Linked DNA regions of Diceros bicornis minor. The protein of the gene in region 2 interacts with the protein of the main gene of each other region in a biochemical or structural test. Links are inferred from orthologs where the notes say so. Each region holds a gene or a part of one and is shown on either strand. Other genes may lie near its edges.

Region 1 (7,044 bases), on a different chromosome or scaffold from region 2:
AGTTTTATTGGGTATAGAACTGTATGTAGGCATTTTCCTTCAGCACGTTGTGGATGTTATTCCATTGTCGCTTGGCTTCCATGTTTCTGTTGCAAAGTCAGATGTCTTTTTGTTTCTCCTTTCAATATCTGGCTGATATCCTCCTTGTCTTTGGTCTTCAGCAGGCTAACTGTCATATACCCAGGTGTGGCTGTCTTTGTATTTATTCTGATTTGGGTTAGCAGTTTCTTTGTAGTATGTGGTTTATTATCTTTGGTGAATTTTGAAAAATTCTCTTTCATTCTCTCTTCAAATATGGCTTCTGGCCTATTCTTTTCTCTCCTTCTGAGTCTCCATTTTACAAATATGTTAGATATTTCCACCATATTGTATATTGCTTTTAGGCCTTTTACTGTATTTTCCATACTTTTTCTCTCTCTGCTTCTGTCTAAATATTTTCTTCTGACCTATCTTCCAGTTCATAATCATCTCTTCCACTGTGTCTAATCTGTTGTTAAACCCATCTACTGAATTCATAATTTCAGAAATTGTATTTTTGTTCTCAAATTTCCATTTCTTTTTTTTTATAGATTCTAATTTTCTGCTGAAAATTTCCATCTTATTATCTATTTTCCTTAACATATTAATTATTTAAAATAATTAAAGTTACTTTAAAGTCTGTGTCCGATAATGCCAATACTCTGTCTCCTGTGGGGTTATTACTATTTCTTGGTTTTGGATCATTTGTCTCCTGGTTTTCTTTGCAAGCTTTTATTTAATTCTGGATATTGTGTATGAAGATATTTTAGTTAACTTGAGGCCCTAGATGATGCTATTTTCCTCCAGAGATTTTCTTTGCTTCAGGCTGGCAATAGGAAGGAGAACAGGTCAGCATAGCCCAATCTGGGAGTGAGCTGTTTGGAAGCTGGGTTTCAGTCTTTGTGAGGAGTGACCTATTTACACTTCAGCCTTACTCCTCTATTGTAGGTCCCAGTGCTCCATTTGAAGGTCCAGGTTATTTATCATAGCCTATCTTGTAGTAGGCCATGCTCAATTATTGTCTCCCCATCCTATGAGACTCAAAAGCTCTGCTCAGTGTCTCAACTTCTTGTCCACTGCATATATTATGGACTGCATTGTGTCTCTCTTCCTCCCTCTGTCCCACACTCCCTCCCTCCCTCTTCCTCTCCCTATATCCATGCACACACAGAGGAAAGGCCATGTGATGATACAGAGAGGTGGCAGCCCTCTACAAGCCAAGGGGAGAGCCCTCACCAGAAATCAACCCTGTTGGCACCTTGATCTTGGACTTCTAGCCTCCAGAACTGTGAGAAAATAAATGTTGTTTAAGCCATCCAGTCTGTGGTATTTTGTTATGGCAGCCCCAGCTGACTAATATAGCATACTAATCACCAAATGCCTCAGAGGGAAAAACCACTTCCCTTCTTTCTGGGATCTTCACCCCTCAAAGTCTTCTCTGTTTTAGTAGCTACCTGATATCTTCAAACAGATTTTCAAAATATTTTATACAGATTTTCTAGTTGTTCAAAACCACAATAGTTTAACAATTTGCTTTAAAAAATTCATCAACATCATATGAGCATCTTTTCCTGTTATCAACTACTCTTTTTTTTACACATTCTTTAAATAGTGATACAGCCTTTCATTATATGGACCATAGTTTCACTAATTTCTTATTGTAACACATTTAGATATTGTGTTTCATCAATTCTAAGTTACATATTTTTCACACTTCAATAGGTCTGAAACCAGGATGTGTCTTCCATCCGTAACCCATCATAGTTTAATGTGTATGTGACATACACAATATTATGCTTTATAATTGATGGTGTCTTCCAGTTGATGATGGGCATGAACACTGCCCATGTGAAGTCACACCAGAGCCAACAATCTTGGGGGATGGTTCTGATCCCCATTGTCCATCTCTGTCCTGGATGGGGCTTGTTCCTGCAGGCTCCCCTCTCCCAGAAGCACAGTTAGAGCTGGCCATTCTACCTAGGGATTCTCTGACAGAGGTGGGTCATAGTGCAGATTCCAGGATAAAAAGGACCTTGGACCTGGCTGAGATAGGAGGTTGGCTCTGACCACACCTTTCATGGGGAGACTTTGTTAACCTGTGACATGGCAGCCCCATTTTGGGGAGGCCCCTCCCCTCTCCTAAATGGTGCCTCTAGCCAAGAAAGTGAATTTTTAAGAGTCAAAGATGGTTTGTGAAATTAAGGTCCATGAAAACATGGCTCCATAGCTTTGTGATGTTAACAGGAAATGAGTGGAATCCAGCTGGCTGGGCCTTACTCAGACAGGATGGAAACGGTTCAGTCTCTTAGGGTCAAATCCAGACCCTGCTATTTCCTAGCTGCATGACTCTGTGCAGTCCACCTTCCCCCCAAACCTTCGTTTCCTAATTGGCAAAATAGGGATCATGAGGGTCCTTGCACCAGAGCGTTGTGAGGCTTGAGTGGGATGATGCAAGCTTGGCACCAGGCTTGGCACACCCTGAGTGTGAGATAAATTTCAGCTGTCACTGGTCCATTTCATCTGAAGGCATTAGGATTACAGACAGGGAGGATAGGAAGAGCCAGGGGCTTCTAAGGATGCATGCCTCAAGTAGCAAAAGGATGTCCTGACCAAGGCCCCCATTCTCCAGCACATTCCCCATGGCCGCCTGAGCACCTGTCTAGGCAGTGTTTCACCCTGGGTTTGCCCCGACAGTCAGTAGAGCACACTGGTCAAGCTCACTGACCAACTGCCCATGCTCAAATCCCAGTCATACTGCTTACCAACGCTGGGATCTCAGGCATGTAATCTAACCTCTGAGTGCCTCAAGTTCCTCACTTGTAGAATCGGTTATTGTGAGGACTAGGTGCGGAGTCCTGGCATCTGGTGCAGTGTGCACTCCAGAAACGTTAGCAAAACGGTCACAGGAGGGCCTCCTGCATCTGTCCCACCATCTTCCCCAAGGGTTCAGCTTCCACTAGCCAGGTTCGGAAGGCCAAACGGGACTAGACAAGGGGAGAAAAGGGAGCTGCAGAGAGTGAAGCCTGGCTAAGCTCAGAGTGAGAAGTGGACAGAAAGACATTCCACATCTCTGGTCCCTGTCTTAGGTCTCTGTCCCCCTGGAGCTCTGGGTGAAGGAGGGCAGACTGGAGTTTGTGTGGGCTTGTGAAATGAACAAATGCGATGTGTCCTTAGTGGATGGAGCTGACAGGTGGGTCAGCCTTGGAGCGCTTTCTTCCTTCACCCCACAGTTCTTCATGACCTTTGGCTCCTGCTCCTCCATGAAGGTGAATGGAGCCTTTTCGAGTAGTGGGGTGCCTCTCAAGGCACCACTCACTCACCCAGGTCCCCTTTGGCCACTGGAGGTGGTTCACCAGACTGGCCTTATTTTCCTTTTTCGCTCTGAGAAACGCACTCTCTACACAGGAAATAAATGGGTGCGCCTGGGCTGGCTGGCTGAGCTAAAGTGGGCGAGGGACCAGGTCGGTTGGCGAGGAACCTAAGGCACTGAGGAGGCGGACAGGCTGTCCTCAGGCCCCAAGATAATGCGCCAGTCCTGGTCCCTGACCCCACAACAACCCCGGCCAAATGGCCTGGACTCTGAGCGCTCCCCAGGCCCCTCGCTGCCCAGACCTCCCCCCAGGCCCCTGTGCAACCCCCTGGGGACCTCGGTGTCCTGTATGCCACCCTGGGCCCTCGGTGCTCCAGCGCCCCCCGGGTCCTAGTGCGCCCCCGATGCCCTGTGAGCCCCCCGGTGTCCCGCGCCCCCACAGCTCTGAGAGCGCGTCTGGTGCTGTACAGGCATCCCCACCCCCGACTCCAAGCCCTCCGCGCCCCAGAGTGTCAGGACCGCCAGGTTCACGCCGGGCCCCGCCCCGTGACGCATTTCCAACGGTCAGGAACCTCGGCCCGGCCCGGCGCGCGCCCGACGCCCCGGGGGGCGCGCATCGTGCACGCGCAACGCCACGTGACCCCCTCGCCGACCAACCCGCACGCCGAGATTTGGGGGGCAAAGCGCGGTCCCGCGAGCAGTTGCGGCGGGAGAGCGGCGGGCCGAGAGCGTGACTCGCCCGCTCCGGCGCTGCCTGCTTCCCCCTCGCCGCCTCCCGCCGCCGCCCGCAGCCATGTCCGAGGAGAAGCCCAAGGTAAGGGCCAGCGGGCGCGTGCCGGTCCCGGTCCTCGGCCCCCCGCCCGCGCCGCCACCGCCCGCGCACCAGGCACCCTCCGCGGCCGGGTGCGACCTCCGGGATCAGAGCGGCGCCGGCGAGGCCTCCCCGCGCCCCGCGCCCCCCTCGGCTCCCCTCCCCCCCGCGCCTCTCGGCTCCCCTCCCCCCGCTCTGTGGCGCTCCGCCCCCGCCCCGGCTCCGCCCCCGACAGCCCAGGCTCCGCCCCGCCCTACGCCCAGGCCCCGCCCCCGCCCAGGCTCCGCCCCGACTGCCACGCCCTCCGAGCTCCGCCCCCGTGATTGCCCGGGCCCCGCCCCCGGCTAGGCCCCGCCCCGTCCCGGGAGCCCCGCCCGGGATGGAATTTGGACGTGGTCTGGGGCGGGCGGGGACTTTCCTCGCAGGGAACCTCCCCTTCGCCGAGATCCCCCGCCACTACGGCGCTCTCCTAGCCGGGACCCGCCGACTCCGGGAGCCTTGCGGCGTCTGGGCCCACACTCCCCAGGAGCCCTTGCTCGGTTTCACGTCCACGCCCACCCGCGCTCGAACCCCGGGGTGCGGGGATCTCGCACGCTGCCAACCCCCTTCGCGGAGAAACGCTCCCTCGTCTTCCGTCGTTACCCCGCTCCGGGGCCTTCCAGCCTTGGCTTTACCCCCCAATCACGACTTCAACGGGAAGCCCACGTCCCCACTTTCTCTCCAGGGCCGCCCCTCCTCAGGACCCCCTCCCTCGCGGAGAGCCTCCCCCACTACAGCTCCTCCCGTCGGGACCGCGGTCCGCGGGTCCGGCCCTGGACCTGTCTGCTGAGGCGTCTCCAGGGGGCACCCTCCCCAGCCCTCATTGCGGAGCGAGAGGGCGCCGAGAGGGCGCACCTGGGGACAGGCGGCGAGGCCACCTGACCTGTCCGTGCACACTGCCAACCTTTACCGCAGCCCGTCCCGCCGCGCCCTCGGGTGTGCACCCGCCATTCTGCTCTTCCCCACGCTGTCCTCAGGTGTGCGCCCACCCCCCCCATCACTGTCCTCAGGTGTGCACCCACCCCTTCCCATCGCTGTCCTCAGGTGTGCACCCACCCCCCCATCGCTGTCCTCAGGTGCGCCCCCCTCCCCGTCGCTGTCCTCCGGTGTGCACCTGCCCCTCCTCATCTCTTCCTGGGGATTTTTGCCCACCCCTCTCCGTGGTGCCCTCTGGTGTGCCTCCACCTGTCCCCATTTGGCTCTCCTCACTCCGATGCCTTGGCTGTCAGTTCTTGGGGAGGTCCACGGTTGTAACTGCAAAAGCAAGTTCCTGAAGCTTTTTGTCTGCACCGTTGGGGTCTGTTGTTTTGACCAAATGGAAGATCTGCTGTTGAGTTGAATGCTTTGCACATAGGCTTCCTCTGATACCAGCCTGGTGCTGGAGATTGCACCCCCTCCACAGCTGAGACTGCGGCCTGGCGTGTCCCCAGTGCACGCAGGTGGCAGAGCTGGGGTTGGGGTGGACCTGCACGGAGCCCGTGGTCTGGAGGGAGAGTGGAAGCCTGCACTCTGCCCGCTGTGTTTTGAGAAAAGGTCACACCCCAGGAAAGCCTCCAGATGCAGATGGAGCCGCCATGGCTTTTTACATTTTGGTGCCAACTCAGCTTTTTATACCACTCCTCCAGGCCAAAGGTAAATGCTTGCCTTTGTTTTTCTGGGTGGCTTCCTCTTACTGAAGTTTAAATACAATGAAATACATATGATACTCATTTCTTCAGTGTGTGTAAACTTAACTCTCCCATGTCTTCAACATCCATGGTCCAATTCAGTTGAATAAACTTGTTTGAACTGCTTCCAAAACGACTAAATGGTTGTGCCTCACTCACACCTCATTCTTGCCTACCGTGCCCTCGGTGCCTGCTGGCTCTCGTGCTGCTCTCTCCTCTGGGCCTGGAGAGGAGGGGTAGGAGACTCACTCCCAAGCTGTCCTGGGGGTGGAAAGAAAACCTTGTGGGTCGATTCGGAAAACAGTTTCTGCCCCCTCTGGATAGGCGGGGGATTGACGGTAGTGAATTGTGGTCATTGTTTTCAGGGTTTCTTTTATTTCTTTTACTCTTTGTTTATTAGGAATTCACCAGGGGTCTCGGACAGGCTGCTCATTCTTGGTTTCCCTCTGTTAGAGGGGAGAGGTGCCTGGCGCCTTCTCCGCCTGCACCAGTCTCCCCAGGAAGCCAGGGCACCCAGTGGCCCTGTGAGGCTCTCCTGCTGCCTTCCGCTGCCTGGTCTGCAGCCCCTGCCCTGTGGTTCTGTTTGTTCTGTGTTCTGGCCCCTGCATCTGTTTGTTTTGAACACATCCATATCTTTTCTTTAAAAAAGCAAATGTGTCCTCTATCTAAATGCAAAAGAATGAAGTTGGATCCTTCTTAACACCACATACAAAAATTAACTCAAAATGGATCAAGGACCTAAATGTAAGACCCAAAACAGTAATATTCCTAAGAGAAAACAGGACAAAAGCTGTACGACATGGGATTTGGCAATGATTTCTTAGATATGACACCAGAGGCAACAACAAAAATAGACAAATTGGACTTCATGAAAATTTAAAAATTTTGTGCGTCAAAAGACACTATGAACAGAATCAAAAGGCAGCCACAGAAGGGGAGAAGATATTTGCAAATCGCACATCTGATAAGGGGTTAATATTCAGAATATATAGAGAACTCCTACAACTTAATGACAACAATTAAAAAAAACAAGCTAACTAATTCAAAAATGGGCAGAGGACTTGAACAGACCTTTTTACAGAGAAGACATAGAAATGGCCAAAGGAACATGAAAAGATGCTCAAAACGTCAGTAATCATTAGAGAAGCGCAATTCGCAACTACAGTGAGACACCGCCTCACACCTACTGGGATGGCTAC
Region 2 (6,920 bases):
GAAACGTACCTCTGCCTCCCGAATCACTGACCACTAGGGCAAGCCTTCACACAGAGCCTCACCACGCCACCGCCTGTTGCCCACGCGCTGGGGCACATGTTAACTCATCTAATTAACCAGCCACGGACAACGTATGTTGATTTCCAGCTACAAAAGGGTAGGGATTTGGTGCCCCGCCCCGCCTGAGGTTTGCTGAACTGCGTCAGGACAGTCTGGCAGTAGCACATTAAACCAGCTTGGCCTTTTCTCCCTGCTGCCTTCTCTGGGGGCTTATGTGCACCCTCCCTCCAGGCTGCAGATGCAGCCATGAGCTGGGTGGGAAGTTCTAACAGACAACAGGCAGGCTGGTAACAGGTCAGGGCAAACAAAACCCTCCGAGTGGTGAAGTTCTAGACGGTGGTGCTTTTACACATCCGTCCCTATCTAGGCTGGTACATTAAGGGCCCAGGAGCTTCCCAGTGGGTTAGAGCTGGGATCTGGGACTAGCCTGTTCCATGCCCCTCGCACCCCCGGGGCTAGAAACAGACTCAAATCCATAGCCAGCCACAGGGATCAAAGGCCCTGGAGCCGCCCCACGTGGAGCAGAGTGTGACATAACCAACACCCCAGGAGGCCTGAGCTCTTTGAAGAGGACTTCAGATTTCTGCTGGAACGTGGCCACAGCAGACTGACTTTCAAAGACTTCAGTCTACTTACATTTTGGTGGTGAGGATGGATAATCGTCTTTGAAAAGCATCCGCAGTTTAAACAACCCTCCTTCCCATGGAGTCTGTTGGGAAATAAGACTGCGATTAAATGTGCTGCCGGCCAGGCCCAGGAGGAGGGGCTTGCTTTTGCTGCACACCCCCTAGGACCACGAGGACCCCAGAGAGAGGGGAGCAGCCCAACTGTTCCACAAACAGGACTGTCAGGACCTCCATGAGCCCTTAGACTGAGTCGGAAAGAGCTCTCCTTGGAGCGGGGCAGGGCAGCAGCCGGGCTTCTGAGAAGGCAGGGCCCCTGGCGGGCTGGCTCCTCCCACCCCGGGACAGGGTGAGGACTTGAGGGAACTCTACTGCGTACCCCTTCCCCTAGAGGGGCATTCTGAGAGGCCCCTCCCTCAGGTCCCACCTGTCCCTGGGCAGCCTCCCAGCGCCACCATCCACTACCCCTTTCCAACCTCCCCCAGGAGGGAGACGGCCGCAGCACACCTGCCTTGCCCTAAGATGAGGGGCCAGGAATGGTCTCGGCAAACGCTGGGTGCGTGCTGGGCGCTCAACAACCTCAGACGAAGGATAAACCCAAACCACGTCACCTCACGGACAAAGCCGAGTCCTAATCCACCGGCTTAGTGCAGGGGGTGGGGACACTATCAGGAAGCACTGAGGCTGAGCTCTCGTGATCTCACAACAGACCACGGGTGGGAGGAAATGGAGGTGATGACGCCTCCAGCATAACCCAGACACCTCGGGGGCCTCCTCCTCCGGAGTCACCCAGGCAGAACTATACGCAAGGTCATCAGAGACCCTCACTCCCAAATGCTTCAAGCGTGCGGGTCCTAACTGGGCCGGGTGCACTCAGGGGAGCCGAGGAGGCAGCCCCACAGGGAGGACTGGCCAGTGTGTGAAGGACATGCAGGGGCCCACGCAGCCCTCTCCAGTGGCTGATGCCTGGCCTCTGCATCACAGGATCTGCAGCTGCCCCAGGCTCAGAGACGCCCCAGAAGGAGCATCACTATGTCTGGGCAGCTGCAGCCCCAGCAGGTCCGGCAGGACAAGCCCGAAGGCCCTCGGGCTCCTCCAGACCAGTCTCCATCCCACCTCCAAGGCTCCTTCTGCTCCCGAGATGCAGCTGGTGGGGCACCTCCCCACACGTGAGGGGTTACATGTCACCCTACCCTCGTTCGTTCCCCATCTCACATCCCCCCGGGGCTCGCATGAGCATCAGGAATGTCACATGCACTCAAACACAAGTCCTTCTGAAGGACTTCTGTCCCTCTGTCCTGCTGCTAGAAGCCGACAAGTGGCAGAGGACATGAGCCACGGGCCTCTTACCCCTTTCTTTCCTGGAATGGCACACTCCCAGTTCATGAGGTTCATCGTGCCGTCGGGGTTTTTTGTCGGGACAGCCACAAAACCCTGGGAGAAAACACCACACAAGCACATCAGCCACGCCGCCTCACTCTACGCGCACACGGACAAGCCTGCGGCCCCACCGCCTGCCAGCGCGGAGGCAACGGCCCCCGTCCGGGAGGCCCCTTCGGGCAGGCCCCGTCCACTGCGTTGCACACAGAAATAAAGCTTTCCTTACAAATGGGTGGTCTTTTCTCCAAGCTTTCCTCTCTTGGGCGAGTCTGCTGAGGGCGATCCCCGACATATTCAAAGTCCCTGGAAGAGATGGGCAGAGGGTGCGATTAGGAAAGGCAAACCTGCTTCCCTGTCTCTTCACCTGACAACTGGCCCCACCCGCCCCCGGCAGCCAGGGAAGCAGCAGCTGGCCGCTCCCAAGACCCAGGCCTCCTGGAACACCTCCATGTGGGGCACCTTCCCTGTGTACATCTCACCTCCAGGGCTCCACGGCACACGCCGTGGACTCCATTTCATGGTGACACAGAGGTTCAGAGAGGTGAAGCCACACAGCTGCTAGGTGCTGCGGGGGAGGGGACACTGGGCACTCCCAACAGACACCTGCACACCTGTCCTGCCCTCTTCAGTCACATGCGGCAGTGGGCCAGAGTAACAGGGATTACAATTCCACCATCAGACTCCGCAGAAACAGCAGGGACAAGGTAGGGGTGTCCAGAGCACTAGCCCGAGACCCAGGAGGGGCAGTGATGGCGTGCTCGCCTCTGCCTGTACAGGGATGTGGGGGCGCTGTCAGGCCCCCAGCTCAGAATCAGGGGCTCAGAATTCAGATTTGGGCGCAGCCAGGAGAATAACCCTTATTCTTGAAAGGCAATGCAGCGGAAATGTGCCAGTGGGGCAGAGAGCAGTTCAACTGAGTTATGGACAAGTACAGAGATGGCACACCTGCCCACCAGCATCCAAGAGACTCCCCTTGTCACCAGGGCCCCAGGCTCCTTCCTCTTCTCCCTCCACTCTCACATCCTACAGCCCCACCTAGGACCTGCTGGCGCCCCACAAACAACGAACAGATCAAGGCCTGTCTCCCATTTACTTTGGGGAAGTCAACGCAAGGGGGAGCCAGCTAGCAGGGAGCACAAGGCGGAAGGGGAGACACCTCAGCAGGCAGGCCCACCCGCCCCCGCCAGTGCACCGTGTGGAGGGGGCTCCCCCCATCACGCCCCGAGCCCCTCGACTACAGACCCTGGAGGCTCAGCGCCTTCAGCCGTTCAAATCAGCAGCCCAGAAGCCCTCAGCCTGCACTGTCTCATGCTTCCCGCAGGTAAAGCAGCATCTCAGGGCGCTGGATAGCCAGCAAGGCACAGCAGACCTTCAGAGGTCACAAAGCTTGCCCAAGAACCTGACCCTGTGTTTGCTGATCTCCCAAGTCCGTGGAAACATTGAAGACACCCGCTGCATCGCCCCCTGCCCCCGACTCCCCCTCCTGTGATTACTCATGCGGCCTCCCCACTGCGGCGCAGGCTGACCCACAACTGCCTCAGCAATCCAAATCGCACCATTCTCCCCGCCATCCCCCACCTGGCTGCCCGGCCCTGGGCCCCAGACAACTCAAACAGCCCCTGTTTGTGCAGGAGGGGTCAAGTCAACAGGTCAGCAGCAGGCCAGACGGGCCACGCCTTGCTACCCTGCAGTACAGCCCCTTCTGAGTGTGGCCCTGGGCGGGGGCATCACCTGGATGCTTGTAAGAAATGCACATGCCCGATGCCCCCCCCACCCCGAGTCAGGAACTCGGGGCTGCCAGCGCTCTGGGTTCTGGGCAGCTCCCGAGAAGTCAGCAAAGTGGAAGGAGGGGGTCTGGGATCGCCATTGCCGTGCCACCCAGGAGCCCAAGTCTCAGGAAGTGGGGCGAGTTACCACAAACCGCCAGACCAACCAGACGTGGTGCGCTTTCAAGAAACATGCATGCTTATGTCATCATAAGGAAAAGTGACGGTCAAAAATCAAAGCCCTCCAGTCAGGAAGCACAGCTGCCGGGGCCACACGTGACAGACGCACCCACTGGGGGCACGGCCTCCAGCTCCACACTGTGACCCCACAACGCGCCTTTACAAAGACTCTGATCTTACCTGACCTCAAGATTAAGTATGAAATAGATAACATCAAGCTTGCACCCAATAGAATTTCTCTTCACCGCCACTCGATCCCAGGGTTCTAGTCTGCCCACCTCCCATGCGGTATGTGACTGGGCTGCCCAAAGCTCACGCCCACCCGGGGTCTCCTTCCCTGGACAGCACGTCTCCATCTGGAATAGTCACTCCTTCCCGCTACGTAAAATCGGGGCCAGCAGCTGAGAACAAGACGCGCATTGCTGCCCTGGGGGCTCACACAAGAGGAAGTCTTGTCCTGGGAAACACCAGGTGCCCGAGGTCCACAGCAGGACCACAGGGATGGGGAGGCACGCACCCTGGTTTCAAATGGTGGCCAGGTAGGCTACTCAAGCCCAGCCTGCAGAGATCAGGCAGGAGACTGTTCCAGGCAGGATGGTCAGGAACAGAAGGGCCCCGTGGGCCAGAGGCAGGGCCAGGGGGTTCAGGACGCCTGGACATTGACCGTGAGGGCCTGGTGAGCCACTGTGAGGACCTGGGCTTGCACAGGGAGGTGGGGAGCTTGCAAGGACCGGGGCAGAGGAGAGCGCCAGCTAGCTCCTGTCTTTAAGGCTCTCTCTGGGCAGAAGTGCGCAGTGATGACTAGCCGCGAGGCCAGGAGGCTGGGGCAGTAACCTGGATGTCTGAAAATCCTTCATTTCCACAAGTTTCTCAAACCCTTCACTTCAACTGGTTCTTCTAAATGAAATGACCCAACTCCACCCCCATCCCCAGCTTGAGAGCACAGCACACACTAGCCTCCAAAGTCCTCCAGTCCCCTGCCCCCAGCCTCCCCCACCGAAAGGGCACACACAGAATGGCCTCTCACCCCCAGCCAGGGTAAAGCAGACAGCACAGGCTGGCAGGCTGCTTCTGCTGCATTAATGAACACAGAAGTTCAGTAACCAAGACAAGCAGTTGTCGAAATGAGATGTAAGGACCCCCCCGCCCCCCAGTCTGAGCTGGGCTGGCATCACCAAGACGGGTTCTGTCAGCAGGACAAAGAGCCACAGGTGCACACCTGCACAGTCCCAGGCAGAGGACTGGTCCCAAGATGCTTCCACTCCCACTCACCTCCTGGTGTACAGGAGACAGCAGACAATTTGTTACATTTTAATTACAATACAGAACAACTCATTCAGAATCCCACTTGAAATGGAAACTCCTTCCCCAACTAACAGAGGCACTTAAGAAGCAGTTGAGTGTTCCTAGATGCTTCAGAGCAGCAAAGTTATAAGATACAAAGATAAGACATCCCCTAACTACTAGAGTTCTTCAGGCAGAGCACTGGAGTCTGCCCTCCACCTTCCTCCAGGGCCTGGCAGAGGGGTGTACTTGAACTTGCTCTTGTCAGATCATGCTCTACTAACTGACAGAACGGACCTCAGAGCTACTTACTGCATGAATATGGCAAGGTGCTCATCTTCCCCAGCCTCAACTTTCTCATCTGTAAAACGGGTGCTAGACTATGACCTCACAGGTTTGCCCAGGGTGACACTGATAATGGATTTCACGCTCCAGCCGGGCCTTTCCCACCCAAATGCAAACTCCGCAAGGGAGATTCCAGCAGAAGGCTTTCACTTCACCTGGCCCCAAGCACCTCGCACTCAGGAGACCTCCCGTCCAAGCTGCACATCTCTTGTTCTTTCCCAACATAATTCCCAGGACCCTGGGCTGTTTCTGAAGCAAAGTCACAAACCACAAGACTCACCGGGCAAAAGCACAACAGCATGCAGAATTCACCCCTAAACCACCCAAAAGGCGGAAAACAAATCAGGACAAACTTAGGATCCATGTCCTTTTTCTGTCGGATAGGTTCTCAACCCAAAGGCTGTGTTTCCTCAATAGCAAGAAACATTTATGGCCACAGTCTTTAAAAGGAAACAAACAAAAAGCCAACTTTGCAAACACAGTAACAATATCTTCCCAAACTGAGAAACAAAGCATATTTTCAAATTATACAAACCGAACCGGCTAATACTGTGATTCCGGGGCGACTACAGGCCGCGATCGCGAGCCCAGCTAATCATCCCCTTCCTCCCTCCTACTCACGTAACTACCAGTTCCAACCTCCGCTCAATCGGTACAAAGCAACCTCCGAAAGAAAACTCTCCCTGAAGCGAAGCGCCCATGTTCAGTGTCCCACCAACTGCAGGTGGAGCTCTTTAGAGGCGCAAGAAAACTCAGGCTTGTTTTGATTTTCAGACATCAAACCCCCACCCCCCCACGAGCCAGCGATTTTGCAACCCAAGACTTTCAAGTACCGGGGCCGCGCGCTGTCCCCTGGCTGCAGAGCGCCACAGGTCTGCGCGCAGTCCCGTGACCCCGGAAAACAGTCTCCCCGTGGAGGCTCCGCGGCGCGGTAGCCGCCCTCCAGCCCAGCGCCTGTCAACAGCGGCCGCGGCGCTCTGCGCTCCGGGACGCGACCGGGAGCCCCTCGGGGCCGCCGCCCAGCACGCGCTCTCCCGCCTTCAAAAGGGAAAGTGATGGGAATCCGGGGACGGGACGCGAGCCAGGCCAGGCGCGGGGGGACGCGGTCCGCCGAGGCCGCAGGCTCGGGCCTCCCTGCTCCGGCCGGCCGACTCCCGGGCGCGGCGCCGCGGGCCTGCCGGGCGGGGCGGGGCGGGGGTCCAGGCGCGCGGCGACGGCGAGTCGGGGCCGCAAGGCCGGGGGCGGAGGGGGCGCCCTCCCGGCTGGGCCCGACGGCAGCAGA
Region 3 (7,902 bases), on a different chromosome or scaffold from region 2:
AGAGGATCTAAAACAAAGAAATATTTGGAAGAATTTACAAAAAAGTTTTTAAGCGTTGTGGAAGTTTAAACTAGAACTTTAACAGGTGATGCCTATTTTCAAGTGCACAGTGTTACCAAGACTCCTAAACCAGGTCCTGGGCATTATCTCATTTAATCTTCACAACGACTGCTACGATGGGGGCTATGATTCTCATTTCAAAAGGATGAAATAGGCTCAGAAAGCATTCAGTAACTTACTCAAGCTCACAAAGCTGACAGAGTGAAAATGATGGACTCTTAACTCAGAAGTGTCTGGTTCCAGATCCTATGCTCTTAACCACCAGGCATGCTCCTCTTCCAACTAAGAAAATGAGAGAGCTTCTTGACTTTTAATGACCAAAGTTAAAGAAGGAAGTTAAGGAATGTTCATTCTCAGACATTTTACTTGAATGATCCAATAATTATTTGTTTTGGAAAACTTTGAAGGAGTCTGGCCTGAAACCTGAAACAGACCAATGACATTTCTTTGAAACCTAAAAATCTGTATCAGTGTACTGTTAAACAAGTCCAGCCCCTACTACTAAGGAATCAACATGAATGGCCCTATGTTATCTCTTATAACCATACCTATCCTCTGTTCTGATTTCTTCCAATCCTTCAGCTTTTGAGTTTCTAGACCTTCAAAAAAGACAAATTTGTCTACATAATCTGGACTCTGGAAGGCTCATTTAAACGGAAAAATTGTAAGGAAAAAATCCCTGCCCCTCAATCTCTCAGTTATCTTTTCAAAAAGTTTTAAAATTATTAGTTAGAAAAGGATAAAAACCAGACATCTCTAACAAATAGCGTCTAAAAGTTGAGTAGCCACCATTTATTAAGTGATTAACTTAATTTTTCAGTTATAAGAACATCTATATCAAGAAATATGATTCAATCTGATCCAAATTTGCTAAATTTCCAAACGAGAAAATTCCTTAAATAACAGATGAGTCTGGAAAAATCTAAGAACTAGTTTAGAATTGAGAGTGATGCACAACAGCTAATTAATTCATTTTTATTAAAGCTGCCTTTGATAGTCTCAACTGATGAACTGCAAAGGAGAAATAAGTACAATATTGCATATAAAAAGGAAGTGACGGGTGCGTAACTTGATGCATAGTATTAAGTATAATTCTGCATATAAGGACAAAAAATTGGCACTACAAAGAGGTAATCTGTCTTAGGTTTACAATACAGCAGCCTCATCATTTCATCAAAAGTACTGTAATCAGTTCTGCAAAATTAATTGAAATTAATTCCTGGCAACTCTTGGAATTAAGTCTAGACCTGTTTACTCACTTTTTGAATTTTATAAGTGCTTTCTCTGGTGTACATAAACTGAGAACTTATCATTCTATTGAATAAGAACCAAAAAAGGATCTACAAAATAGCAAGAACATAAACAAGTTTATCTTCTGCTGATACTGATTAGGGAAGTTAATCTCTCCCAGAAGAGTGGAAGGACTTAACAGTAAAGCCAGTCTACTAACCACAACTCTTACTATAAATCTTCAATTACTTAAAATGATTTCCTCAAAGGTTAAAATACCAAAGTGGACCCAACTGTACGTGGGGGGATGGAGGGGGATCACTCTTAACCCCACCGGTTCGACTCACAATTCTTAATCCTATAATGTATCACTCAGACGCAAACTTAAAAGTGTTTTAAAAACTTGCATTAAGTTCTAACTCGATGATTATTTACTGCGGATATATTTTGAAGGTTTCCCTTTAATATACTTCAACTTCAGGAAAATGAGACAGTTCTAAAAATGTTGCAACATTTTAGTGCTGCATTTCATACGCTCTGATCACATACCTTTTTTCCAATGTCATTAACAACGATTGCCCAAATTTAGCCAGCCGCTACATTTTCACCGTAATATTTTCAAGAATGAATGAGGCATCTATTCATTTATAACGTCTGGGCTTTCTTGACAGGTGATAGAAACACAAGTATCCAATTCTGATGTTCTCTTTAAAATGTTGCTGTTTCTCTCAATTCCCGTTACTCCCCCTCTAAGTCAAGGCAAGTTTTTCAAGGCCATTAAAACAAAACCAAACCTGCACGTGCAAACTCAAAAGTTAGCATCTTCAGGCCACCGCGGCAAATCCCGAACGCACAAAGGCAAGCCCCGGCCGCGCTGGACCAGCGCAGGGCCGCAGCACGAGCCCCCGGGCCAGGAGCCCAGCGCCTGGCGCCTCCGGGAAGCCCGGACCCGCGCGCAGGGTCCGCCCCGGGGCCGAGTTTTCAATGGAACCGGAGAGGATGGGGGCGGGAAGAGCGGAAGCTCGGGTGCAGCGCGGCCACCGGGCTCGCTCCTCTGCCCGGGGTTTCCAGGCCGGGGAAGTCCACCCGGATCGGGCGCCGGCGAGCCGGGGTCTGAGGCGGGGGGGGGGGGGGGGGGGCGGGCGGCGCGAGGCCCCGCGGCCGGGCGGGGCGGCCGGGCGGGCTCAGCCCCCGGCCCCCGAAAGCACTTTCGACGCGTCTCCCACCCCCCACGACAAGATGGCGACGCGGCCAGGGGAGCCGGGCCGGCGGGGCCGGGGGAGAGGGAGGAGAGGCGAGAGCAGGCAGAAACAAAAAGGCGGCCCCCCCCGGAACGCAAGGCCCGCCCGCCAGCCCGAGACGGCGGCGGAGGGCGGGCGGGGGCGGCGGCGGGGAGCGCGGCGGGCGGAGGGAGTGGGCTTACTTTTTCTTGTCGTTCGCGCCGCCGGCGCCCTCCATGGCGACTCGGGCCCCGCGATGCCTCCCGGCCGGCGGCCCCCAGGCTCGCTCCGGCCTAAGCGCTGGCTCCCTCCACACGCGGGAGAGATGGCGAGGCACGGCCGGAGGTGGGGGATGCGAGGCGGGAAACCCTCCGTGAGACGAGAGGCAGGAGGAGCGGGCTGCAGTCGCAAGGGTCCCGGTCCGGCTCAGAAGAGCCTTTCCTCGGGCTGCTCGTCAGGGCCCACCCCGACGCGTTGGCCGAAGCGGCGGCGAGGACGATCCTCGCGTCCCCTCGGACGAAGCGGCTCTGTGCTCTGACGAGCTGAGGCAGCGGCAGGGGGCGGGCTAAGGCGGGGGCGCGCTCGGGGGCGCACGCGCGGGGGGGGGGGGTAGTGTGTCGGGGGCGCGCCCGACCGCGGAGCCCGGCGCGCGCTCACGCAAGCCCGCCTCACCTGAGGGGGAGGCGGGTTCCTTGAGAGCCAATGGCGAACGACGCAGGCGGCCAGTCCCCACCCCAGCCCACGTCTCTCTCAGCCAATCAGGAGGCGGTCAGCTGAGACACAGCTGGGAAGCGCCGCGGCGCTCACGTGCTCGTCTGTGTGCAGCGGCGGAGGGAAGAGAAGAGCTGGGGGCGCGGCCAGCGTGGGTCTGGGGACTCTGCGCCTTCTCCCTGGGAAGGCAGTGGCTGGCTTTGGGAGGCGCTGCTGAGAAGAGATTTCGGTTTCTGGGTCCCAAGCCTGCATCACGTTTCCTGCTCGGTGCGGCAAGTCTCCTGCTCTCTTTTTCCTCGGCGGCTATGCTGTACAGGGTTGCCGCCAGCTCTGCTGAGTCCTAGTTCAAAAAAACAGACTTTTCGCGTCGTGGCAGCGAACTCTGGTTCCTTTGCCCAGATGTGTTACAATGGGGTCTTTCTTGCCAGGTCGCCCAGCCACGGGCCATGTCACCGACCACATTCTGCCATAGAACACAAGAGTACCCTCCTTGTCCACTAAGTTGTTCTGTGAAGTTTGATTACTGAACAAATGCAAATAAAAAGATAAACAAACTCCTCTTGCTGTAAACCTCTCAAGGGAAGCAGGTAGCAGGAAATCTTAAAATATGAAATTATTTTAAGCATTTACAAATAGGTATAAGTGGCTTTAATAAAAGAGCATAAACCTGAATTTCAGAGGAAGAGTAGGAAAAACAGCTTTAGATAGGCTTTTATTTTACTTTCCTGTTGCTTCTAAAAGAGCCGAAAATAATCTTAGAAGGATGGGAAAAAAGGGGAAGATGACCCTTGATTGAGACTTACCACCTTGAATTGAGTTCACTGTGTAGACTGGAAAGAGGAAGGATTCTTCAAACCCCTCGCTGAGACCTGGGCAGGGGAACGCTGAACCCGAGTTAACACTTTATGGTGGCGGCCAGTATTGCTTGTTTGCTAACATGACTTTGCAAGCTGCTGGATAAGACAATCACTTTTTGGCTTTGGAAGCATACATTTCAAGACTGTCAGTCTTTTAAATGAATAAAGAATGTGTTTTGAGCTCAACAAAGAAGCATTGCACATATATCTCCACTTGACACTAGATTACAGTATTTTGCTTCTCACCTTTGCATTATTAGTTATATTGTTACAATGTGGCTTTGGGTTGTGTATTAATTAATGTGGATATCTGTAGTAGGTTTCAATTATATTGGTGTGTGAACACAATGGTCTGTATAACATAGCATTAAACTCTGAGAAGACAACAACGGATTCACATAGCACCTCTCTGTAACTGGTCTGTAGACCCATAAAGATATGGTTAAAGAGTGATCTTAATGCTACTTTTTCTTCAGATCTACAATGCTGAATGATATGTATTCTTGAAAAGTACTGGAGAAAATGCCTGAAAAGAGGAAAGGACCGAAAATAATTACTCATGTTTTCTTTTTTAATTGTGGAAAGAATAAACGTAAATTACAAACCTTTTAGTTTAACATTCTGAAAACTCAGTGTTAAGAACACTGGTGCCAGAGTCAAAAGTGAGCTTGCAATACAGGCTCTGACACTTACTAATTCATTTAACCTCTCTGTGCTTCAGTTTACTCACTTGTGTCTATGCCACAGAATTATGGGATGATTAAATGAGATAGTACATGTAAAGCACTTAGAACAATACCTGACACATAGTAAGCAATCAATAATTGTTAGCCATTAGTATTGTTGGTGGTCTTGTTTTCATTATTCTTATCATTATTACCCCCAAATTTGTGCCTCTGCTAGCAGTAATTACTTGGGCTTCTGCCACAGGTTAGCTAGTTTTAGCTATCCAAAAATGTCAATTATGTTCATATACATCCACATATATTCCCTATTTTAAACTTTGGAACTGCCCACGGTGTTCCCACCCTCCTACACAAGCACAGTTGCAGAAATCTTCAATCATTTCCTTTGTCATTTACTTGTAAGAAATTCTCTCTGTTTTAGTGTTTGTTACATTTAAAAAATGAGCATTTTGTAATAGCAAATCTAAGTCATTTTTTAAAAAATTTTGAGCATTTCAAAAGTTTAAAGTAGAAGGATAATTCAAACAGCAAAATATATTTTTGAACGTTCATTAAATTTACCCCAAAGTTCAATTTTCCTTTCCAGAAATGTATAAAATATGGTATTTTATGTGTATATGTATACATATGTATGTATAAATGTGTATACACACACATACATATATGAACACGGAAAGTGGTAATATTCAACCAGCTTGTTTTCATATAATTACGAAGGAGCCAAATAGTATTCCTTAATTCAATCAATCCTGTTAAATAACAGAATTCTGAAAAACAAAATTTTCTATGGGATAAAATTGTAAATCATCCTCTTTACAACCACCTATTAATAAATGCATTTAGGTTATTACAATGAACATAAATCTTAATGAAGAGTCTCATTCAATCGCCTTCTAATCTTTGTAAGTGTTCAAATTTCATTCCAACTCACTTTGCAGAACTTTGCAAGTAGACTGAAAGATTATTGCAAATGACTCAATTGACCCTTAACCCATATTTAGTAGGAAGTTGGGCAGTGAGTCAGGAGGAAGCAAGATAAAACTTGAAATTTGGATTACTACTAAATAGTATAGAACATTGAGCCTTTTAAAGAGTGAAACACATCAGAAACAGATAATTTAGAATGTATCAAACTATATAAGAACACCTGGTGGTCAATAAGTGATTCTTGATCTTTTAGTACCCTTAGTCCCTCCACCACCACCTTGACCTATTGTCAACAACCTATTGTTGTTGTACAACAACAACAACAAAAAGCAATCGTCTGGAAAGTTCTTAGAATAGACATTAAAAATCTTTTTTCAAAAATCAAAACAAAATATGTATATTTGTCTGAGTTTCTGGAGAATAAGAATAGACTGAAAATTTGACACTAGCATTTTTCCATTATAATAGACATTTTAAGAGTAAATTTACAAAGGAATGCCAAAAGATTTTCAGTCTCTAGTCCAACATGCAAAGAGCTTGGGAGCTCCCATCCTTACAATAAGGAAAAAAGCTGAACAAACTGAAAACCAACAACTCTTCTTAAATCTATCAGAGAACTGAGGTCACAGGACAAACTCCTACCTGAAAACTAGAGAGACAGACAGATATAAAGAAGCACAGCTTACCAAAGGATCACAGTTGACCAGGAGCCAAAGCCAGCAGCTGAAGCCAACAGCACAGTTGGAGCCAATATCAATAGGAACGCATTCAACTATAATTGAGGAATTGCTGGAGGCTCTGTTTGGACCAGCTTGAGAGTTAAAAACTCCAAGGGGGCTCAGCCGTAGAGGGGCCCTAGAACTTTCCTGAGTTTTACTTCTAGGAGCCCTAACAGAGTCTTACTGTGAAGATGTGAGAAGCGTCTCCTCTTGCTTTTTGCAGGGGGAAAGGAAAATTAACCCTTTTGAAATACTCCCAGAGCTCTCTCTTTTTCTGAACCAGGTCTGCCCTCAAGGGAAACTATTTTACCGGAGCCTAACCCACCTTGGGGAAGGAAAACACTCAATTCCAGCCCCCTATAGCCTTCAACATGGGAGAAGGGAAATGCTCAACTCAGGCTCGCTAGAAGACTGAGACATAATTATAAGACTATAGAATGCTTCCCCTCCTCCCGCACCTCACCAGAACACCACATCAGTAGGGCTCCTACATAATAACGGGGGATTACAGCTAAAGGAACTGCAAGCCTCAGACCCTATTTAAAGAGTCACTAGGGACATCCAAAGACAACAAAAGAAACAAAAACAAGGACCCTAGAGGAAAGTTTAGCTTAGATACCACAGCTACAGCAAACAATAACACAGCCTAACACCTAGCCAGATAAACAAAACTTCATAGTAAAGGCCTATCTTCCTAAGTTCCTTTTACCTGATACAGCATGTCTGGCTTTCAACAAAAAAAATTACAAGACATGCTAAAAGGCAAAAAGCATGGGCTTGGGGTACTGTGCCCCATCTCCAGCCAGCTGAGGGGGCAGCGGACTAAGATGATGGATGGTTGAGCTTTTGCTTCTTGCTGTATTTCCTTGAAGCTAATTCATTATCCTGCAGTCCCTTCATCTTCCACACCAGTCCGCTCTTTCAGCCATTAACCTAATCACTCAGCTAAATAGGTTCATGAAGAGTGTTAAGTACTTCTGAATCACGTTATGACTTAGAACAGAGATGGCAAGTGAATGGCACACCATCACCCTTCTGCCCCCATGGTAGGTACGTTAACCTGCTTCAGAGTGTTTCCCACTACTCCCCGGTATATCCTCATTTCTCAAGATTCCCCCAGCAGCCGGTATAAGTGTTGAGACCTATTTGCCATCCCTGGCTGAGATACTGCTCACCTGTGGAGAAGTGTTTCCTAAGATCTTTTCTTCCCCTCTGAAAAAATAAAAGGCAAAAACACAATCTGAAGAAATAAACCAAACATCAGAACCAGACTCAGATATGGCAGAGATTTTAGAATTATCAGACCAGGAATTTAAAATAACTATGATTAATATGCTAAGGGCTCTAATGGAAAAAATGAACAATGTGGAAGAATAGATGGGTAATGTAAGTAGAGATATGGAAACTCTAAGGAAGAATCCAAAGAAAATGCTAGAAATAAAAAACAATGTAACAGACATGAAGAATGCTTTTGATGGGCTCATCAGTAGAC
Region 4 (7,921 bases), on a different chromosome or scaffold from region 2:
CCTACAAATTGACCATTGACCCCTACCTCTTTTTCCCTGGCGCTACAGGAAGCGAAGCACTCGGAGTTATATATGCAGGTGGATTTGGGCTGTAACTTCTTTGTTGACACAGTGGTGTGAGTGTCTACCCGTCCCTCTGAGCCCACAGAGTTCAGCTCCCCCCCCTTCCTTCAGTCAACAAATGTTTTTCTGAGTATTTGCCCTGTACCAGACACCGTGCTAGGTGCTGGAGAAGTGACAGTGAATAAAATAGGACAAAATCCCTCCCTCCTTGAGCTGCAATTTGGGGAAGGTGGGGGGAGGGGAGTAAAAAAAAAATCTTAAATAAACTGTATGGTTTGCTAAACAGTGGTAAGGACTTCCCCCACTTCCTCTAACCACTGTTTCCTCAGCCCAGACACTTCCCGGATCTATGTGGCCCTTGGCTATGGTTTTTTCCTGGAGTTGACACTGGCAGAAGCTCTCAAGTTCATTGATCGTAAGAGCAATCTTCTCACAGAGTAAGTCCATTCCATGAGGATAGTGTCTACAAACACCACCATTCGCAACACCCTTCCCCCCTGCTCCATGGCTGCCTGGGATGATACTTAGGGATCCATCTCCCCTCCTCCTCAGGCCTAGGGCTGAGGAAAGTGGGGATGCAAGGCTCAGCCCCAGGTATAGCACATAATAAGCACTCAGTAAATGTTCATTCACACAAACATTTATTGGGCATCTGCTGTATGCCAGGCTCTGTGCTTGGCAGTGGGGAGGCAGCAGTGAACAAGACAGAAGGTTCCTTGAAGGCTTAAGTTATAGAAGGACTGTACTGTTATACACAAGCACAGTTTTGACCAGATCCGGGAGGTCTCACCCTTTAAATCAGTAACGATAAAACGAGTTACCTCTGACTTCGCCTCCTGCTAATTCTCCCACTCGTTCGCTCTGCTCTCACTACATTGACCTTCATGGGCATCTTTAAACACTCCCAGGATGATCCCACCTCAGGGCCACCCCACTGGCTGTTCTGCCTGCAGCACTCTCCCCAGATGCCTGCATGGCTTCCTTTCTCCTCACTCAATTGAAGTCTTGCTTAAATGTCACTTCCTCAGCGAGGCCTTCTGTAACCTAACTTTAAAATTGCAACCCCCGGTACTCCTGATTCCCCTTCCTTGTTCTACTTTTTCTTTTTTCCATAGCACTTGTGTCCTCCTCATGTTTACTGTGTAATTTACTTCTTTCTAATGTGCATTGCTTTCTTCCATTAGGCTATAAGCTTTATAGAGGGAGATATGTTGTCTATACCCCAAGTGACTAGAATAGTGCAGAGCATATAGTAGGCACTCCGTGTTTGTTGAATGAATTTAAAAAGGTATGCTGGAAACAGATTGAAGCAGATCTCTGTTGGTGGTGATGGGGAGGTAATGTGGAGGGAAAATGTGGGCTCTGGTTGAGTTTAAGGTTTTGTTAAGGGAAGGGGAATTGGGAGTGTAGATGCAAGGTTTGAAATGTAGCTCAGGAAGGCCTCCTAGAGGAAGTGACATTTGAGTCACTTGGTTGAGTGAACAAGCCATGGGGCTATCTGGGGAAGAGGATTCCTGGCAAGAGGACCAGTGTGCCTGTTGTGTTAGAGGAACTGGCAGGAGAGGCGAGCGTGGCTCGGCTGGAGTGCGGGAGGGAACGCTGAGCATTACACTTCAATTAACATCTCACAAGTGAATACCACAGATAGAAAATTCCTTCTGGGTTATATTTATCTTTATCCCTACGAATAAAGATTTCAGAGTTGTTTCTTCCAGAGTTGCCTCCCTTAGGGTTTCAGTAATTCTTTTCTTTTCTAACCTTTCCAGAGTTTCAGTGTTAGTAGACCCAAAAGAGCCTCAGACCTGCTGAGATTTCTAAATCTTAGATTTCTCAATTCTTAAGTTGTCAGTGCCTGTCTCCTTGTCTGGTCTTTTTAATATATTGACCTGGTCTATTAGTGTGATGAGAAATGTGATTGAATCTCTTATTACTTTATTATAATTAATAGGACTCCCTAGAAGTTTAATCTTTCTAGGAAATGAGGATTCGAGTCTGTGTAGCTCACTCTCCTCTTTAAAATACTTGGTGACTTGGGATACACTTTGAACTAACTTTCTTTCAGATTATTTTATGTAACCAAACAATCTGTCAGTCCTTCCTGTTCTTAGTATATTTCTTTGTTTGGGGAATGGGAGGATCAGGTCTCTGTGTATATTCTTTCCTGATTACACAGAAAGGAGTACATATCCACACTGCCTTACGTATTAAATCAGTAGCAATAAATTAAACGTATCCCTTTTGTGTTACAACTAGCATTTGGTGAACTTTCTATTTTTCTCCTTTTTTTTAAGTGTTGAACTCATAGCCTTTCATAGACTAAGCTTGTACCATTAACTAATTTTGTTCTCTTCTTTGATTTCAAATTGTCCCTTAGAAGCTGATCAAGATCATTCATCTGTTCTCTGAGGGGTACCCCTGATATTCTTGCAAGCATTCTTGCTCTCTAGCAACAACACCATGCTCCATTTGTTTCCTGTCCTTAAACGTAGACTCAACCACCTTTTGAGGACTTCAGGTTCCTTTGAGTGGAGTAGTCATTCACTTATTCATTCAGCATACATTGGGTGCCTACTATGTGCCACACACTATTTTGATTCTCCAGCCACACTGGTCTCTTTGCTGTGCCTCAGATATGCCAGGTACACTCCCACCTCAGCGCCATTGCTGCTGCCCTGTGTCTGGCACACTCATCCTCCATATAGCCACATGATTTGCTTCTTCATCTTAAGTCTTTACTCAAATGCTTCTCAGTGAAGCCATCCCTAATCACTCTAATTAGAGTTGCAGCCCCCACTCCTGCACTCCTTATCCTCTCTTAGCATTTAATTTTTTCATTGTACTTAGAACCATCTGACATACTCTATATTTTGTTCCATCATTTGTCCCTCTTAACGAGAATTTGAGCTCCATGAGGCCACGATTTTTGTTTGCTGTGTTTGCTGCTCTCTCCTCAGTACCTAAAACTACCTGGCATAGAGTAGAGATTCAAGAAATGTCTTTGAATCAGTGCAGTCCAGATGATGGCCAGGCATCTCTGCACAGAAGCAGGTCAGCTAGTAGGATGTCCTACCACCTGCTCTGGGGAAGTGATCCAAGATGGAGGTAGTTCTTGAAGTGATGAGGAATCATCATCCTCATGATCATAAGTGGGGTCCACTTCGCCCCTTGTTTCTTTTCTCCAGGCTCAGCGACAGCCTCACCAAGGACTCCATGAATATCAAGGCCCATATCCACATGTTGCTAGAGGTGAGAGCAGCTCACCCCACTCTCAGACTCTGTCTCCAAATGTTTAGGGTGGTGACTTGAGGAAGGGAGGGGACTAGAGATGGGAATGACCATCTTTCCCTCTAAACTGGAACCAAGCTGGAGCCAGGCTGGCCCTGAGGGAGGGGATGTCAGAGCAAGCCTGGGGCGGGGCCTGGACGCAGTCTCTGTTCAATCTATTCTCTCCTCTTTTTCAGGGGCTTAGAGAACTACAAGGCCTGCAGAATTTCCAAGAGAAGCCTCACCATTGACTTCTTCCTCCTTCCCCTGACATTAAAAAGCCTGAATGCCTTTGAGTCACATGGCCCTTCTTTTCCCCCTTAGCCCCCCCTTTTTGCTCAGGTGTCCTGTATCTAAAGCACAAAGTTACTAGGAGGCCCAGAGATCCAGTCTCTATGTGGAACATTTAAAGTCCCCCTGAAGTCCCACCTCCAGCCTGTTGCCTGGCAGCATTTGACACCTGACTTTCTGCTCTGCCCTCTCTTGTGTCGCCTTAGCAACCTGGGCCTCCATCTGACACTTCTATTTCTTTTCCTGAACACTACTCTTTGAATTACCATAGAGAATGGGCCGATTCAGGGTGGAGGTTTGTTCCCAAGGCAATCAGCCTTTCACTCCTGGCCCTAAGGTTTACCCCTCTCCCACACCCCAGTCATTCCTCAGGTACCTTCAATTCTTAAATTACACCCACCGCCGTCTTGGCTGCTAAATACTTCCCAGTTTCCACCAATGGGCGCAGAGCCGATCCCGCCCTCCTTGGTCCGGCCCCTATTCTAGGTTGAGTCCAGCTTCCGTCAATCAATGCAGAGCCAGGTTCCGCCCCTTTATAACTGGCTGCAGTTCGACCCTGCCCTGTTCGTAGGCATTTAGTTTCCGCCCTGAACGCTCCTTGGCGTGTCTGGCAGCTGCCCTGCCTTCCTACCTCTGCTCCGTTCTAAATTCGTGTTTTCTAGCCAATCACTATAGAGTTACCCTGCCCGCCTACGCAGAGCCCTGACCCGACCCCCCTCCCGGCGGGCTGTTACGCTTATTCTATACAAGTCCTGCTTCCGCTGAGCAGCGTGGAGTGCAGCACCGCCCGGTTGCTGTTTTGGCAGCTGTCTAGGAGTCCCTCATCCGCCAATCAGCAGGAAGCACAAGCACCCACCCCTATCCTCGGTGGCTGTCTTCCATCAATCCCATATAGGCCAATCAGTGCGAGGCAGGCGCCCCAGGAAACTAGGCAATTGCCGATTGTCTATCAGTCTTTCTTGAGCCAATCAGCGTGGAGCACAGGCCGGGCCGAGCACACCCCCTTGGAACCAAGACGGCTGTCTGCGTTCCATCACTTCCCCTTGGGCCAATCACGGCATAGCTCTGTGGGGCAGGGCCCGCCTCCCCAACCCTGTAAGCCGCGCGCTCGATCCATGGCGCTTTGGCCAATCATTGAGAGGCGGATCGTTCGGCTCCTCCTCCACGGGCCCACGTGAGTGGTGGGGAAACGCAGGGGCGGCTTCTAGGCGCCGCCGCCGCCGCCGCCGCCGCCGCCGCCGCCGCCGCCGCCGCCGCCGCCGCCGCCGCCGCCGCCGCCGCCGCCGCCGCCGCCGCCGCCGCCGCCGCCGCCGCCGCCTCGGAACCCGGGCCTGGGGGGCGGTGGGGCCGCGCATGGAGCCCCCGCCCCCCGGAGCTGCCAACATCGCTCCTGCGCTACGCACAGGTGAGCCCGGGGTCTGGAGGGTAGAGGGCCCGGTCCGTGACCCCACGTATCCTTCCCGCCCCCGCGCGAGGGATGTGGCTTGGCCCGTGGCCTGCTGGTGTTCGACTCCTCACCGCCACCACCGCGGCTGGTGGACCTGCCTGTGGCATTGTCCCCTCTCTTCGCCCCTTGTAGTGGATCTGACCGTGTCCTAACCCCTTTTCCTGTTGTATAATGGATCGGTCTGCGTGCTTATATTTCTCCCCACCCCACCTTACAGTGGACTCGTCCGTGGTCTTGCCCCCACCCCCACTTATAGGGGACCAGTCTCTGGCCTTGTCTAACTCCTTGACAGTAGGTGCGTCTGAGTGTTTGTATTTCTCCTGTCCTCAACTTTCAGGGGCCCGGTCTGTGGCCTTGTTTGTTCCACCCCTTCTGTTTCTTGTAGTGAAGCAATCCGTGGCGTTGTCCCCCCTCACCCCTCTTTAACAGTGAGTTAATGTGTGAATTTGTATTCCTGTCTCCTCCAGTGTATCAGTCCATGGCTTTATCGCACACACACCCATTTTACAGCGAATCAGTCTGCATGCTTGTATTCACATCCCCCTAGTTATCAGCCCATTGCCCTGTCCTCCCTTTTTTGTAGACTGTCACTTCAGTCCTTGGGCTTCTCCCTTCCTTTTAATAATGGCTCAGTTTAGTGCTTTTTATCTCCTTGTTTTCAGTAGCCCAGTCCATGGCCTTGGCCCGATTTCCTTCTAATCAGTCTGTGTGATAGCTTTTCTCCTCCTCCACTTTTGTGCAGGAATCGGTGTGCCTTTCTGCTCGCCTTGCTGCCAATAAATAAGATAAGCCTTCGCACCCCCACCTCGCCTTTGCAGTGGGTCTGCTCGTTGGCCTTCCTGCTGCCCATGTGCTTGCATTCCCACCTCTTGGGATACCCTCCCGTGACTCTAGTGTTTTGTAATCCCTCCTCCAGAAGGGTCAGCCTGTGTGCTTCATTTTCTCCCTCCTTTCCTTGCGGTGCATCAGTGGCCTTCCCTGCCCCGCTTCCTCCTTAATAGTGGACCAGCCTGTGTACTGGTTGAACCCAGGTCTTTATTTTTACTCTAGAACACACCCCCTCATACACACTTAACCACTAAGACATTGTGCCTTGCTACAATAAATAAATAGATTAGTGACAATGCCAATAGGAGCTAACATTTATTGAGCACCTACTATGTACCAGGCAAAGTGCTTTATATTAATGAGCCCATTTAATCCTCACCACAACCGGATGATATAGGTACTGAGGACAGTTTGGCATGGCATAGGGAGGTTAAAAACCATACTCAAAGGGGACCCAGTAAGTACCAGGTTAGGTTGCCCCTCAGAACACAGGGTAATTTTTGAGACTCCTCTCATCCCATCCCACGAGGCCCCACTCCTTAAAAACGAAATTAGTTCCCATGTCCAGGTTTTTGTTTTTGCTGTTCCCTCTGCCTGCAGAGCTGTCTCCATTCCCACCTTGTCTCAGCACCCATCCACCTCCCTTCCCAGCAGCTGTGTCACCTTAGTGATGTAACCATTTTCTCTCTGCACTTCTTTCCTCATTTGTAAAGTGAGGGAATCAGAACTAGAAGCCCCTCCAGTGTAAATAAAAATACCTGTGAGTTAATAATAAATCAACTAACCTCTCTGGCCTTACCTGCTACACCTCCCTCCCAACTCTGTTCTGGCCACACTGACCTCCTCACTCGTCCTCAAACATACCAGGCGCCTTCTAGCCTCAGGGCCTTTGCAGGCTGTTTCTTGTGCCTGGAACACTCTACCCCTGATCTCTGCATGGTTCTTTTCAGGGCTCTGTTCAGATGTCAACCTGTCCCTTCTCTGCTTGATTTGTCCCTTTGCGCTTTATCACAGTCGGACACACTGTTTACCGGTTTCTTGTCTGTCCCCATTAGGATTGGAGTCCCATGGGGGCTTACAGGTTTGTCTGCTCGTTCACTGCTGGGTCTCCATCACCTAAAAATATACCTAGTATGTAGTAGGTGCTCAATAAGAATTTATTTCATGAGTGAATGGGAAAAAATATTGTTTCAGACAAATCAGGGTTGGAGAGCAAATGGAGGTGAAGAGGGCATATGAGAGCAAGTTAAGAGGCTAGTTAGTTGGGACTGTTCATTCAACCAACAGTTACTGAGCACCTACTGAGTACCAGGCATTCTTCTAGGTGCTGGGAATATGGGAGGGAACAAAACAGAAATTCCTGCCCTTGTGGAGCAGACATTTGCTAAAAGTCGGGGAGACAGACTGTATAAATAAAACAAATAAGTAAAATTAGGTGGTATGTTAGACAAGTGCTAAGGAGGAAAAATGAAGTAGGGGAGGTAGGAATAGAGTATTGGGGTGGTGAAATCTTACACTCAGAGCAGGCCTCACTTGGAAGATGACTCTTGAATTAAGGCCTGAAGGAGCTCAGGGAGGGAGCCCTAATGTCTAGGGGAGAAGTGTACCAGGCAGAAGGCACAGCCCGTGCAAAGGCCCTGTGATGGGATTGTGCCTGGCATGTTCAAGGAACATGAAGGGGGCCAGTGTGGCTGAAGCCAAGTGGAGGGAGGGCTAGGAGGCGAGGCCATGGAGGTGACTGGAGCCAGATGGTGTCAGCCATGGTGATGCATAAGGTGGGGGGAGGGGTTTGGGGAGGGAGAAGGATGACACACTAGCTGATAGCTACCGTTTGTTGAGTGTCTCCCATGTGCCAGAGGGACTTTTCTAAGTCCTTTACATATATTGGCATTTAATCCTCACAGAAGCCTTTGAGAGTAGGTGGATTTTGAGGCTATTTTACTTCGAGAGTAAAATATCCCCATTTTATAGCTGCAGAAACAGACCCAGGGAGATGGAGTAACTTGCTCAAGGTCACACAGCTAGAAC

Evidence for each region.
Region 1: the proteins of UBE2I (region 2) and SUMO3 form a complex in vitro, tested with the Homo sapiens proteins (2 studies listed by BioGRID, with this or other methods). The link is inferred for Diceros bicornis minor from reciprocal best matches to the Homo sapiens genes UBE2I and SUMO3.
Region 3: of the proteins of UBE2I (region 2) and HIF1A, one has a biochemical effect on the other in vitro, tested with the Homo sapiens proteins (2 studies listed by BioGRID). The link is inferred for Diceros bicornis minor from reciprocal best matches to the Homo sapiens genes UBE2I and HIF1A.
Region 4: of the proteins of UBE2I (region 2) and ELK1, one has a biochemical effect on the other in vitro, tested with the Homo sapiens proteins (3 studies listed by BioGRID and IntAct, with this or other methods). The link is inferred for Diceros bicornis minor from reciprocal best matches to the Homo sapiens genes UBE2I and ELK1.

Annotation. Positions count from the first base shown.
Region 1 is NC_080766.1:44,198,728-44,205,771, reverse strand, and holds the start of SUMO3 (small ubiquitin-related modifier 3), read left to right. Parts: upstream 1-4,035; 5' UTR 4,036-4,121; coding exon 4,122-4,142; intron 4,143-7,044. UniProt on the Homo sapiens protein: Ubiquitin-like protein which can be covalently attached to target lysines either as a monomer or as a lysine-linked polymer. Does not seem to be involved in protein degradation and may function as an antagonist of ubiquitin in the degradation process.
Region 2 is NC_080765.1:47,066,423-47,073,342, forward strand, and holds the start of UBE2I (SUMO-conjugating enzyme UBC9), read right to left. Parts: upstream 3,007-6,920; 5' UTR 2,583-3,006; coding exon 2,543-2,582; intron 2,367-2,542; coding exon 2,290-2,366; intron 2,118-2,289; coding exon 2,034-2,117; intron 770-2,033; coding exon 697-769; intron 1-696. UniProt on the Homo sapiens protein: Accepts the ubiquitin-like proteins SUMO1, SUMO2, SUMO3, SUMO4 and SUMO1P1/SUMO5 from the UBLE1A-UBLE1B E1 complex and catalyzes their covalent attachment to other proteins with the help of an E3 ligase such as RANBP2, CBX4 and ZNF451.
Region 3 is NC_080763.1:11,158,466-11,166,367, reverse strand, and holds the start of HIF1A (hypoxia-inducible factor 1-alpha), read right to left. Parts: upstream 3,018-7,902; 5' UTR 2,749-3,017; coding exon 2,714-2,748; intron 1-2,713.
Region 4 is NC_080781.1:41,404,328-41,412,248, reverse strand, and holds the start of ELK1 (ETS domain-containing protein Elk-1), read left to right. Parts: upstream 1-4,915; 5' UTR 4,916-5,023; intron 5,024-7,921. Other genes in the region: protein UXT, read left to right, coding at 49-116, 393-500, 3,525-3,651. UniProt on the Homo sapiens protein: Transcription factor that binds to purine-rich DNA sequences. Forms a ternary complex with SRF and the ETS and SRF motifs of the serum response element (SRE) on the promoter region of immediate early genes such as FOS and IER2.